Macaca mulatta: one gene and its partners. The protein of the gene in region 2 interacts with the protein of the main gene of each other region in a pairwise test. Links are inferred from orthologs where the notes say so. Each region holds a gene or a part of one and is shown on either strand. Other genes may lie near its edges.

What was found. The genes of interacting proteins can lie anywhere in the genome.
Region 1: the proteins of UBE2I (region 2) and ARK2N interact in a two-hybrid assay, tested with the Homo sapiens proteins (2 studies listed by BioGRID and IntAct). The two-hybrid records come from large-scale screens. The link is inferred for Macaca mulatta from reciprocal best matches to the Homo sapiens genes UBE2I and ARK2N.
Region 3: the proteins of UBE2I (region 2) and SATB1 interact in a two-hybrid assay, tested with the Homo sapiens proteins (3 studies listed by BioGRID and IntAct). The link is inferred for Macaca mulatta from reciprocal best matches to the Homo sapiens genes UBE2I and SATB1.

The regions. Positions count from the first base shown.
Region 1 is NC_133423.1:46,240,560-46,244,847, forward strand, and holds the start of ARK2N (protein ARK2N), read right to left. Parts: upstream 2,801-4,288; 5' UTR 2,545-2,800; intron 2,224-2,544; exon of another isoform or gene 1,928-2,223; intron 1-1,927. UniProt on the Homo sapiens protein: AMPK substrate important for exercise capacity and skeletal muscle function.
Region 2 is NC_133425.1:2,512,386-2,516,693, reverse strand, and holds the start of UBE2I (SUMO-conjugating enzyme UBC9), read right to left. Parts: upstream 2,807-4,308; 5' UTR 2,637-2,806; intron 1,272-2,636; 5' UTR 1,261-1,271; coding exon 1,195-1,260; intron 1,003-1,194; coding exon 919-1,002; intron 1-918. UniProt on the Homo sapiens protein: Accepts the ubiquitin-like proteins SUMO1, SUMO2, SUMO3, SUMO4 and SUMO1P1/SUMO5 from the UBLE1A-UBLE1B E1 complex and catalyzes their covalent attachment to other proteins with the help of an E3 ligase such as RANBP2, CBX4 and ZNF451.
Region 3 is NC_133407.1:30,103,326-30,107,633, reverse strand, and holds the start of SATB1 (DNA-binding protein SATB1), read right to left. Parts: upstream 2,801-4,308; 5' UTR 2,671-2,800; intron 9-2,670; 5' UTR 1-8. UniProt on the Homo sapiens protein: Crucial silencing factor contributing to the initiation of X inactivation mediated by Xist RNA that occurs during embryogenesis and in lymphoma.

The sequences.
Region 1 (4,288 bases), on a different chromosome or scaffold from region 2:
AACATTAGGAGCAAGAAACCTTTGAAGGACACGCATTAGCCCTCAGTTCTAAAGGAACTGCATTAAATTAGAACCTAAAGCTGAATTTATCTTTACTATATGGGTTTTGAATTAATCATGATAACCATAAAACAAAGATTATGACAGCTACTCTCAAATAGATGCATGTTAAAGTAATATAAAAGTGAGTAAGTAACAACTACACTGTGAACTTATTCTAACAATGGGGAAAGTTTCCAGCTCCAATGTCCAGTCCATCCCATTTTTCACAAAAAGGTGTCAGAAAAAAAAATTTTCCCAAAAATGTGTCAGAAAAAAAATTTTTCCCATTAAGAAATCTGATTCAGGCCGGGCGCGGTGGCTCACGCCTGTAATTCCAGCACTTTGGGAAGCTGAGGAGGGCGGATCACTAGGTCAGGAGTTCAAGAGCAGCCTGGCCAACGTGGTGAAACCCCGTCTCTACTAAAAATACAAAAATTAGCTGGGCGTGGCTCGTGTCCGTAATCCCAGCTACTCGGGAGGCTGAGGCAGGATAATTGCTTGAACCAGGACACGGGAGGCGGAGGTTGCAGTGAGCAGAGATCACACCACTGAACTCCAGCCTGGGCTACAGAGCAGACTCCGTCTCAAATAAATAAATAAATAAATAAATAAATAAATAAATAAAATAGCGATGTGACTCCTCAGGACATCAGGTAGTAACTAGCAATTGCAGGCCTCTAAAAATGCTTGTTAAACCAAAAGGCAATGCTCTGATTACTGGAGGAATCTAGATTGCCAGGATCAGCAAAACTACATTAGAAAGTTAATAGCTTCCATCCTTAAAATATCCCAAGAGAAGAAAGGGAGTGATTCAAACTGTTAGCATGTACCCAATACTACACAATAATAGCCTAAGCAAAATTGGTAGATGTATTTGTAATTAAGAAGTCCAACCTTGACGAAGTATTATCAGTGGGATTTTAATTTTACTGGGTGGGAGGATTCAAAAAGCAAAAGGTCAGGCAAAAAACGAAAAACCCATCCAAGCCGAAACTGCTCAAGGATCTATCTGGGAGGGCTCCTACCGATGTTCTCTACTTCAACCTGCGAACATCAATTTTGTGATGGGGGCTGCCGGGGACGGAGTGGGGCGGGGGGGTAGGCGGACAATTTAAAAGTGAGAATGAATGGCTTGCGTAAAGGCGACAGTCTTTAAGCCGGGTTCGTCAGTGTACATCCTCACCGGTTTTGAAATAAAGTTGACGAACTCCCCAGAAGCGGTCAATTTTGGAGACTGACACATCTCTCCCATTGACCGGAGGCGCCTGCCGACCGAAGGTAGTGGAAACGCCGAGAGGCAGGCGGCGCCAAGCCTAAGAAAGCCTTTTCTCCCTCCTCCAAGGCCACTGCGGCCGCAGCCCTGGAGCTCTCCACTGCAGGGGCAGGTATCGGCGCCAGACCCCCGGCTCGCGGAGCTGGCGGAGTTGCCGCCACTGCTTCCCAGGCGGGCCTAGGAGCCAGAAAGTTGCGTGAAGACAACTCCAAGGCCGTGAAGCCGCTTCCCCCCGCAGCCCGGGGACTGCGGCACCTCCAGCCTTCTCCTTAGTACCCCACGGAAAAGGACTTGCCTCGACCCGGCCCCAGCGTCTGGGGGCTTGGGGTGCCGTAGCCAACTCCGCCGGGCCGGGAGGACGCTAGGGTCACCAGCGGCTGACGAGCAAGGAGGTTGGAGCGGTGCGATGCCCCCACGTCAGACGCCAGTCCAGGCTGCGAGTTCCCGGCGCCCACCAGCCGGGCCCGCCAGGATCCCAGCGTCCGGACGCCGCAGAGCCCTCACCGCGGCCCGCAGCCCTCCGACTTGCCCCGACCTATCCCTGGGACGCAGCCCGGGCTCCGCAACTCGACCAGTAGCCAGGCCGCGGCCCTGCGCCCCTTCCCGCCTCACCTGCGCTCCGCTGCGACTCCGTGCCTCCTCGCTCGCTCCGCGCGCGCCCCGTCGGGGCACGCACCGACCCCCCGGCTGGGACTCTCCCCGCTGCGGTGACTCAGGACGCGACGGCCACCGCCGCCTTCTCCTCCTCGGAACAAGCGCCGGCGGCGAGCAGAGGGTCGCGGTCAGAGCCCCTGCCGGGACCAAAGTGAACCTCGCCGCCTCCGCAGCCTCTACCACCAAGTCCCTTCAGTCGTCCGCGCCGCCCCCAAGAAAATGTCACCAGAGGCCGTTCCGCTCGGCGCCTCACTTCCGCCCGGAAACACAGAGCCTGCGTCGGCCGGCTAGAGAGGCTGCTGCGCCGGGGACCTCTGGAGACTGGCGCCCGAGGCCCGAGAAAAGCCAGACAGCGCCATCTGGCGCGATGGAACCCGCGCTCCTCCCGCTGCAGACCGCGGGGCGTGAAAGCGCCAGCTCCCCGGGCTTCTTTCCCGCGCTCCCTCCTTCTGTTGAGACCGTCTCCTTCCAGAAATGTCTTTCCCGGGGTGTGTGAAAGCCACTCAATGCAAGACAAGGACAATGCCTTCAACAAAGGACAGCGCTCCCTTTTCTGTGCGCTGCTCAGTACTCACCCCCTCCTGAAGCCCTTCCGAAAGCAGCTCGCGGTGTCTGAATCTTTGAGTCGCTCCAGCCTCCGGAGGGCCCGCGCCCTTCTCTCCCCGCTTTTTCGCGGATGCGGACAGCTGGGCTCGCGGAGACTCAGCCGGGCTCGGGGAGACTAGGCTGAGGTCTTCTTGGGCAGCGGCACCAACATCTGCTCAAGTTTCTGCCGGGGCACCTTGCAGGCCTTGCAGATCGACCGCCACCTGCTGGTGGGACGGGGCCCGCAGGGGAGACGCCGCTCTGCCCCGAATTCCGCCTCTGCAGTCGCCCTCCGATTTGCAGTCAGCCCTTAGGAGGGTAGGGGAAAGGAGGTGGATCGAACCCCGAGAAAGGGGAGGAGGGCGCGGGCCAACTGGCGGGTAGAGGGCTTCCCAAGGAGAAGCAGGAGATGCTGAAGACGCATCTCACGACTCAAGATCTGGCCAAGGACCCGCGCTCACCCAAAGCACTGCAGTGTTTTGAGAAGAAAAATAATAATAATAAAGCTTTCACCTTTACAGAGCTGTGCTGGAACCTCGGATGAGACCCGTCAAGAGGAGATTCTGAAAATCTTACACTACTGAGTCCGTACTCCCCTAAACATCAGTATCCCCCTTCAGACCAGGCCCATTAGTTCCCCCACTTCACTCATTTTTTCTGACTGCCTACAGGAGTGCGAGTTTTTCATCCCTAACTACAAGAATAATTATGAAAAGAAAATAACTTTTATTGAATGCCTATTACATACCAGGCACTTTGCATTTAAATGGGTTAAATTCTTTTTTTTTTTTTTTTTTTTTTTTTTTTGAGACGGAGTCTCACTCTGCCGCCCAGGCTGGAGTACAGTGGCCAGATCTCGGCTCACTGCAAGCTCTGCCTCCCGGGTTCACGCCATTCTCCTGCCTCAGCCTCCTGAGTAGCTGGGACTACAGGCGCCCGCCACCTCGCCCGGCTAGTTTTTTTTTTGTATTTTTTTAGTAGAGACGGGGTTTCACCGTGTCAGCCAGGATGGTCTCGATCTCCTGACCTCGTGATCCGCCCGTCTCGGCCTCCCAAAGTGCTGGGATTACAGGCTTGAGCCACCGCGCCCGGCCGGGTTAAATTCATTGAATCCTCTTTACAACTCATAACAACCCTATGAGTTGGATGGCATTACTAGCCCCAAGTTGCAAAGGTGGAAACTGAGGCACAGAGTGACCTGCCCAAGATGACACATCCAAGTAAGTGGCAGTGTTGGATTACAACACAGGCAGAGCTTACTTCTTAACCACAGCCACCACTGCCTCATTGAGAATCACTGAGAACGTAGTGTGTGCTAGCTAAGTAGTTTATCTGTATATGTTATTTCACTCGTTCATTCATGTATTTACTTTCTGCTACCTGAGTCCTCAAGGGATTTGAGAGGTTGTGGGGTAGTGACAAGAGCCCAGCCTCTTGCAGGAAAAAAAGAAAAGAAAAGAAAAAATCACTATTAAGATCACAACTGTCCGAAAATGAATGAGTGAATGTGGACTAATACACTGAGTTTTTAAAAGATTCCATGACAGTCTGATCTAACCAATGCTGTGGGAATACTGAAGTAGGGCCCTGACTACTGAGATACCATCTTGGGTCCTTCTCCTGTTTTTTGTTGTTATTGTTGTTTCTTTGTTTTTTGTTCTGTTTTGTTTTGTTTTTTTCTTGAGACAGAGTCTTGCTCTGTCACCCAGACTGGAGTGTAGTGGCGCGATCTTG
Region 2 (4,308 bases):
GCCCCAGATCCTGCCTGGATGAGGCGCCTTTGCCACCCCACAATCCGACACCACTCCCGTCTTCCTCGGGGCCGCACACCTGCGTCGCCGTGACGTGAAGAGCAAGGGACGTTCTCAGCAGAGCCTCAGACAAGCGACAAACCCAAGTGACACCATGTCTCAGGCAAAGCTGAGACCTGCTGGGACTGCTCAGCTCAGGGGGACCGAAGCTGCTTTGAGTTTCAGAGTGAAACCCAGAGGGTGGCATGGGCCGGAGGGAACAAGGCCTCGGGCAGGACCAGCACCTCAGGGCTCTCTCCTTCCTTCAGGGTTCACCAGCATGAACCTTATGTGCACACCAGCCTGGAGTCCCCGGCCAAGTGCTTCACGGGAGCCGGGCAAAGACGACAGGCACACAGGCCGCCCTGCTCCCCACAGACACACAGGGGGCCCCAAGCAGGCATCCTAGGCTGCTGTCGCCAGTCCCTGTGCCCCAGGAGGTTCTCCAGGAGGCGGCTTTACGCCAGGGTGGCTCTCCAGCAAACCCAGCTACCGTGACCTGAGCCACACCTGGAAGGACACAGCAGAATCCCGGGTTCCAGCCTGCAAAGGCTGCCCGCCCTCAGGCCTGCTCCCAACACACACCAGAGCCCCTCCCCTCTGCCACAGCTCAGCCCTGTGCCCAGCCTGCTTCCTTCTCAACCAGAAATGCCCTCGGTGGGGACACAGCTGTCACCCCAACCTTGCCAGCACCACCTTCTGAGCTCAAGTCCGCACGGGGCGGGGGCCAGGCCACAGCTGGGGATCTGACCTGTTGTCCGCAGCCCGTGACAAGGGCGGCCGTCACAGACGGCAGGGGCTGAGCAGTTTCCCCGTGGCGTTGCCACACGCATCTGTTGAGCCCCGACAGGCAGGAGGCTAGCAGCGCGCGCCTCTTACCCCTTTCTTTCCTGGAATGGCGCACTCCCAGTTCATGAGGTTCATCGTGCCATCGGGATTTTTTGTTGGGACAGCCACGAAACCCTGAGAGAAAACAACCACAAAAGCACATCAGTGCGGTGGCATCTCGTTTGACCAAAACCACCGAGAACCGGCCCGCGAGCCCCACCAGCGCGACCCAGGCACGCGGCCAGCTCCCTCCCAGTGGTGGGGGGCACGGTTTCAGCCCAGGGGGGCCGTCCGCGGCACTGCACACGGAAACGAAGCCCTCCTTACAAACGGGTGGTCTTTCCTCCATGCTTTCCTCTCCTGGGCGAGTCTGCTGAGGGCGATCCCCGACATGTTCAGAGTCCCTGGAACACAGGAGGCAGAGCACGGGGTCAGGACAGGCTAGCGGGCTCCTGCGGCCCCGCCACGTGCACACGGCCCGCAGTGGGCAGTCTTGCTCCTAACAGGCGCCAGCCCAGCCCAGCAGAGACTCTCCTCCTGGAAGCCGTCGTCCGACCCCGGGGTCTACCAGGGGAGGCCTCATGAGTGGATCCCAGATCACCGGGGGTGGGGGGACAGGTAGGACCCCTTCCCCATGGGCCCCCCGAGCCCTGGTCTGCGACACGTGCCGCGGCCTCTGCTCCACGGTGGAGACGGATGTTCAGAGGCTGGGCTGCTGTGGCTGGGCGGTAGCTGCCACCCTGTGGTGGCTGGCGTGGCAGGGTCCTCACTGAACCGTCAGGTGGGGACTAGGCAGGGCTGGGTCCCAGCCTTACTATCTGGGTCCCCGCCTTACTATCAGGCGCTCAGAACTGAGACTCAAGCCGGGCCAGGGGGACACCTAATATTGTTTTTTTTTTTTTTTTTGAGATGGAGTCTCACTCTGTCCCTCAGGCTGGAGTGCAGTGGCACTATCTCGGCTCATTGCAACCTCCGTTTCTTGAGTTCAAGCAATTCTCCTGCCTCAGCCTCCCGGGTAGCTGGGACTACAGGCCCCCGCCACCATGCCCGGCTAATTTTTGTATTTTTAATAGAGATGGGGTTTCACCGTGTTGAAGACAGAGTGGAACAAGTACCACAGGGCAGAGGCTCAGCCTCGCTGAAAGAGGAGCCCCCCACAGGGCCACCGTTCCCGGACCCTGCAGCCGCTAGCATGTCCCTGTGGCTTCAGGGGACAGACGGGTCCTGTGGGGCAGGGCAGGAGCATGGGGTACGGGACCAGGTCCCTGGTCAGAGGCAGCGGCACACACGCCAGATTCCAGCTCCACACTTCTCCACGGGACCTCAGGGGCTTGGCACCTTTGCCTTCTGGTTCCCAGCGGGAGCCTGTCGGCCCGCACTGTCCCCGGGGACACCAGGCAAACAGGGCCAGCAGCCTCGACACCAGCCTCACCTGTCACCCTACTGGTGGTCACCTTTACCATGAAAAACAGCACTCAGGGCACAAAACCTGCCAGAGAATTCAAGCCCAAGTGTGTGCTGGTTTTCAAAGTCCACGGGAACACTGAAGCTGCCTCCAAGTCTGGCATCTCAGCGCCAAGCAAGGGCCACCTCGACAAAGCTGGGGGTTGCGCCAGGCCTTCCAAACCGTGGGGGGCCGTCCCTACAAGGGCCCTGGTGACCTGGATGGCGCCCGCACCTGTGCAGGCCCACGAACCTCACACACCTCACAGCTGCAGGAAGGGGCCAGGTCAGCAGCTCCACCTGGGCCAGAGCCGCCGCAGCCTCACCTGGCACTTGTTAGGGAGGCAAGGCCCAGTCCCCAGCAGACTCATTGAGGAAGGAGCTCCGAGAGGCCCACATTCGGGTTTTGGGCGGCACGATGGCTTCCCGAGGCAGCAAAGCAGAAATCAGGGGTGGGGCTGGGATCAAGGAAGCCCAGGCGGGTCCAGTGTCGCCAGGGAACCAGGGTGCTGGAAGCCAGGCGGGGCTGCTAGAGCCGCCTGCCCTGCAGGTGGATTTGGCTCCTTTTTAACCAAACACGGATCCTCAGGGCAGCCTGAGAAAAATCAGGCAAAGGAACCCGGGTCCTCCAGTCAGTAGGTGCTGGCATCACAGCGAGAGGGTGACAGGGGCCATCCGGGCACTGGCCTCCAGCTACACGATTAAGTCCAAGACAGGTAGCCCCAGACTGGGCCCCACCGGGATGTCCCTCCCCATGCCCTCCTCACAGGGATGCGGAGGAGCCCGCAGGCCGCCTGCCCTCTGGACCACTTGCCCATCCCCATGCCCTTCTCTAAGTGGGGGTGGGGGGAAGCCAGGGGCCAGAAAGGGAGAAAGTGGGGGACACAGCTGGGCTCAGCTGTGGGCAGGCAGGGTTCGAGCCCAGAGTGGAGTGGAGCTCCCGCCAACCACGGTTTCAAGGCTCTCTCTGCACGTGTCTCCACCCTCCACTTCCACATGGAGCAGCTCAGTTGTGGCTTGAGGACTCACAGCTCTCGCTTCCCCAGCCCCAGGGTGGGCTTCATGAGTAGCCACAGCCTGTGCCTGGTGCGGTGCAAAGCAGCCTGGTGAACGGCCGTTTTGAGGAGCCACGACCTCCCAGGTGCCCGGGGTCTGAGCGGGGCCAGGAATCAAGCAGGTCTCTGAAGCCCCAGGCCAGTGCTCCAGACACTGAAGGACCAAGGCCAACACGATCCTCACAGCCAGGCAAGGCCAGGCCCCAGAGAGGCCAGCCCCAGAGAGGCCAGCCAGGCCTGGAACCCTGCCACAGGTAGCCCTCCTACTGAAGACCGGACAGAGCCACCTAGAGGCCCCCGTCCCAGCACCTAGCTATTGCTGTCTCAGATGTGAGAAGTCGTGAGGGTGCTCCTGTGAGACCTCCCGCCAAGGTCTGGCTGATGCTGCTGTATCCCCTGCCCCAAAGCACTCAGCACCACAGGGTGGTCTCACAGGAAACTGCACCACAGGGCAAGGAGCCACAGGTGCACACCCACCCTGTCCTAGGCAGAAGCCAGGCCCCTCCCCCTGCTCCCCCTCCTACTGGCCTCCTGGAGAAAGTGGCCAATGTGTTACAATGTAATCACAACACAGACGAAGCATTCAAAATCCCGCTGAAAATCGAATTTGCCCTTCCAAATTAACAGATAAGCACTAAGTGAATGGCTAGCAGTTACTAGACCCTTCAGAGCAGGGAACTTATATGAGGCAAAGACAAAAACAACCCTCATCTATCAGAGCCAAGCAAGGCCCAGACACTGCAGCAACCAGGACAGGGCCAAGCACTCCAGGAGTGGCCTGAAGGTCTGCCTTCTGTCCTGCTGGGCACCCGCGACCGGCTGAGCTTTAGCTTCTCGGATCACCACCTTGCTCTGCTGGTTGACAGCACCGACTTCCGAGCAACTTCCTGGCTGAGGGTGAGCAAAGCACTCACCTCTCACAACTCCACCGCACTCATCTCCA
Region 3 (4,308 bases), on a different chromosome or scaffold from region 2:
AAGATCACCTGCCAGAATTTAAAAAGAAGACATGTTATAATTGGGTGGGGACCTACGTGTATATATGTGTCCTATGTAAATGTTTTAGCTCTAGATATCTCTCCACAAATATAATGTATTGGTAAAATGGCCTATCTAGATATGATACAGATGTTACTATATTTCTAGATAATAGCCTTACATTCTTATTTAAATTAACAAAATGATCTGTGGAAACTGTACCAATACACACGAATAAAAAGGCAATTGGCCTATAAAAAAAACTAAGTGGGGAGAAATGGGCTTACTTTTAGAACAAGAATTATCACAAGTATAGCTAAAAAGAAAACAGCAAATTTTATTTATGTAGTCCCAATTTTTAACAATTAGAAACTCATTACAAAATACAGCAGAAACACTTTAATAAAGGATGGAAAGATGATCACAGTTCAAAATATTAGAAATCTAATGTATATGTTTATATGTGTATGTACATATAATATACATATACATATATGTTTTATATGTATATGAATATAAATTCTGAGGAAAATCATACACAATCTCAAAAGAAGGTAACAAACATCTAACTGTTTTTTAAACTCCCCACTGGCTTTTATAAGTTAATGCATAGAAAAAGTTTTCCACTATCAAAGTTTCAAGAGTTATGTGACAGATCTAGTCAAGTCTTGGGTCAAACATGTGATTGGATCAGTTTACCCCTAAGGAAACAGGAAGAAGTGAAGGGTTTTCAAATATCCAATGTACTGATGCATTAAAACTCATGTGTTTTGTAGTATTTAGGTGTCCATTAGCAATAGAGGGCTGTTAACAATAAATATTTTTTAAAAATTTAGAATACACTTTGTGATATACACATTAGGTTGAAGTGCCAAGCTCAATTAAAACACACACACACAAAAAAAAAAACCTTGATGACACTGGTAAAACAAAATATCCAGTATTCAGAAACAACCTCAGCATGCAATGGCGTTAACATTGTAATTAACTTCAAAAAAATTAACAGATAATTATTTTCAGTTATATACTAGACATCAATTTTCACATCATTTATAGTAAAGTGATTAGATAATATCAAAGTCATTTTTAAAGCATAGTTTTAATTAGAATTGATAAGAACAGGTAAGTAGAATTATTTTATGAACTTTGATGGTATTTGAAATATTGAGCTTATGAAAATAAGGCATCATATTTAGGAAAACCAGAGAGAATAATTACCATTTTTCCTAGCTGTCTAGTAATTTGACATGGCTTGTTTTTGTTGTAAATTGTTACACTGAAGCTATTTAAATCTGGATTTGCTGAAAGCCAGTTTGTGTTAGCATGGCTTTTCTGTAAACATTTTTTTCTTCTGTTTAACCATAGCCTACTTCTTACCATATAATCAAGAAAAGGGGGGCAGTAATGTTAATCTGGAAGTTTAAAAGCAACCTTAAGAATGCCAATTGAAGAACTATAAAGTTTGAGAAAAATTAACGGCTATTTATCTTTGTACTCCAGAGTGGCACACTGAGAACTAAAGGTTTACCGTTGATCGAGGTCCCATCTGTTTTTGGTTATGAGGTTCATTAACAATAAATGTGCCTTTTTAAACCACTTTTTATCAAGATTACTCTTTTCCATTATATTAAACTGCAGTCTAAAGCCAAAATTAGAAAGCAATGATTATTAACTTATTCAAAACACTCTTTATAATGTTTCATGTGGATAATACAGAGCTGCTTTTTCTGAAATTGGTTGCCTCATCCTAGAGCAGAAGATGAATTTTAAAACATATGATTTGAAAAGAAAAATGTTTAGCCCTTGGGGCAATTTAAGAGGAAAAAAAGGGAGGGGGTGTAGACAACAGCATCAAAGTTAATGCTATAAAACATATTAAGTAATCATGAAGCTTAACAACACTATAAACCGTACAGCAAATGAAAATGATATATTATAATTTAGTTAATGTATTGACAATCAAAGTATCACATAGGTCATGAAAAACTGTCCTTTGAATACCCACCTATAAGCATCTATTAAACACTAAGTCATGGTGTAAAAAGCTTCACATTACAAACCAAAATTAAATGCACATAAAACACCCAATTTACTCATTTAAACTCTATGCCCGGGCTAAAGTTCACCAAACCACAGTTTGGAATTGAAAAGAGCAATCTCCAACAGGCCTGCCTGGATGACAGCAGCAGGAACTAACTATGGTCTCAACAGATGCCAGGCTGAAGAGTTTCTTTTGAGTTACACATGTTACAACCCATTTTAGTGTAATGTCTGGTTGCCACACAGAAAGCAAGCTACTTTCTGAAAATCCCATTTATCTGCCCATAAACTAAGACCATATATGATAATTACTTAATAAAACAGTGAACTCTAACAATTATTTCCTTTAAAAAGAAAGAAAAGCACGAAATTATAGTTTTTTAAGAACCGATTTTTTTTGCAAAGTGAGATCCTTTTCAATGAGTTTCTAGCTGGATCGCCTCCTTCGTCCCCACACAACCCCATAATCACATTTTAAGATTGTGCCCTTATCCATTCCATATGGCCGGCACGATCCAGGCCAAGCTTTCACTGTGACCTTTTAAAGAGACAAAGAAGCAAAGTACTATCTAGAAACAGAAACACTGCAGTTTTACTGAGTGAAATTAGCAAAACCGACCTGAAACTCACCACTTCAAAACTTGACAGCATATAAATAACAAAAACAAAGGAGATTTCCTTTGCAGACCGGGTTCTTGAAGAGAAGTTCAAGACTGATGTTTTCTATGTCCTTTTTTTTTTAATTTAAAAAAAAAAAAAAAAAAAAGCAGCAGACCTGAAGGCGACTTCCCCTGAAATTGTATTATTTTTCCTTTCCCCTACCCCCGCCCCCCTAAGCGGGGGAAGGGCAGAAATAAACGTCTAGAAGAGTAGCCATGAGAAAGGGGTTTAAAAAAAAAAAATCACAATTCGAAAACCAACATATATGCGTTTGTAAAATGTCTAACCTCAGAGAACGGGGTTTGCGATGGGGAGGAGGGGAGAGTGGGAAGCAGGGAGGAGGAAGAAGATAAAATTGATCTGACAAGTGATTCGTTGGGGGGAAATCGTAAAAACAAAGCAAAACCCGTTATGAGCTGTACACTATGATGGTGCTGGGGAAACGAGGTGGTGACTGAGGATTCTCTTTAAAAAAAAAAAAAAAAAAAAAAATCACTGCGGACAATGTCTCCAAAAAGGAAAAAAAAAAAGGCCCTTCGCGTCTCTCACTCCCTCCTGCTCGCTCGGGTTCTTCGGTGTGAGGACTGAAAGTCTACTTCTGGCTGTCACTTGCAATATTATTCTCCAACAAACCCGAAGAACGCGCACTGGGAAGGCCACCTTGCCTCCCTTCCAATCACCCCCACCCCCCTCCCCAACAATCGTGACTAATATTAACAAACCTTAAACTTTTCCCCACAGCCTCGCACCCCCAACGAGGGCATCTAGCGGGGGACAGCGAGGGTGGGGGGCAGAGGGTCGCGAGAAAAGCCCCGGAAAGGCACTAAAATGCCACTTTTGATTCTGCCCTCGCTGACAACAGCCCCAAGGACCCTCTCCCTGCCCATTGACGCGGGGCTGTGAGCGTCTGGGATCCCAGCAAGTGAGGAAAGAAGAGGTTCGGGGGGAGGGGGAGGAGGAGAAAGATCAGAAGGCACCCCCAGCCACCTCCACCGCCTAGGCAGCGACAAACTCCCCGCCCCCTCCCCCCAAAAAGTCGCCAAGCTCTCACTCGTCCAGAGTCCGAGGTAAACAACGAGCACCACAATGGCACTAGGACTTGGGGGGGGAAGAAACCCAGAAACCCCAACAAAACTGATCAGGAGTTTCCTGAAATGAAAGAGGGGGGCGGGCAGCGTCCTCTGGAGTCGCCCTGGCTTTCGGCTGGGCCCCCAGGCAGGCTAGAGGGCGGCCGCGGCTGTTGTTGTTGTGACGAGGCCGGGTGTTGCTGGGTGGCACAGGGAGAGGTGTGTGTGTGTTTGTGTGTGTGTGCGTGAGTGTGAGCGCGAGTCCCCGGACGGGGCTGCTTCTCTCGCTCTCTCCCTCGCTCGCTCTCCCCCTCGCTGCCGTCTCTGCCCCCATTAAATTATTAGTTGACTCATCCCGGCCGCTGTCGCCGCCGCCGCCGTGCCCCGCTCGGCTCCGCGCGTCCGCCCGGGCTGCAGCCCTCTCCGCCGCTGCTCCTGCTGCTGCTGCCGCCGCCGCCGCCGCTGCCGCTGTGGGTGCCTCTTCTTCCTCCTCCTCATTTTAATACAAAATCACCCCGCTCGCAGCCCCAGCCCCGAGCAC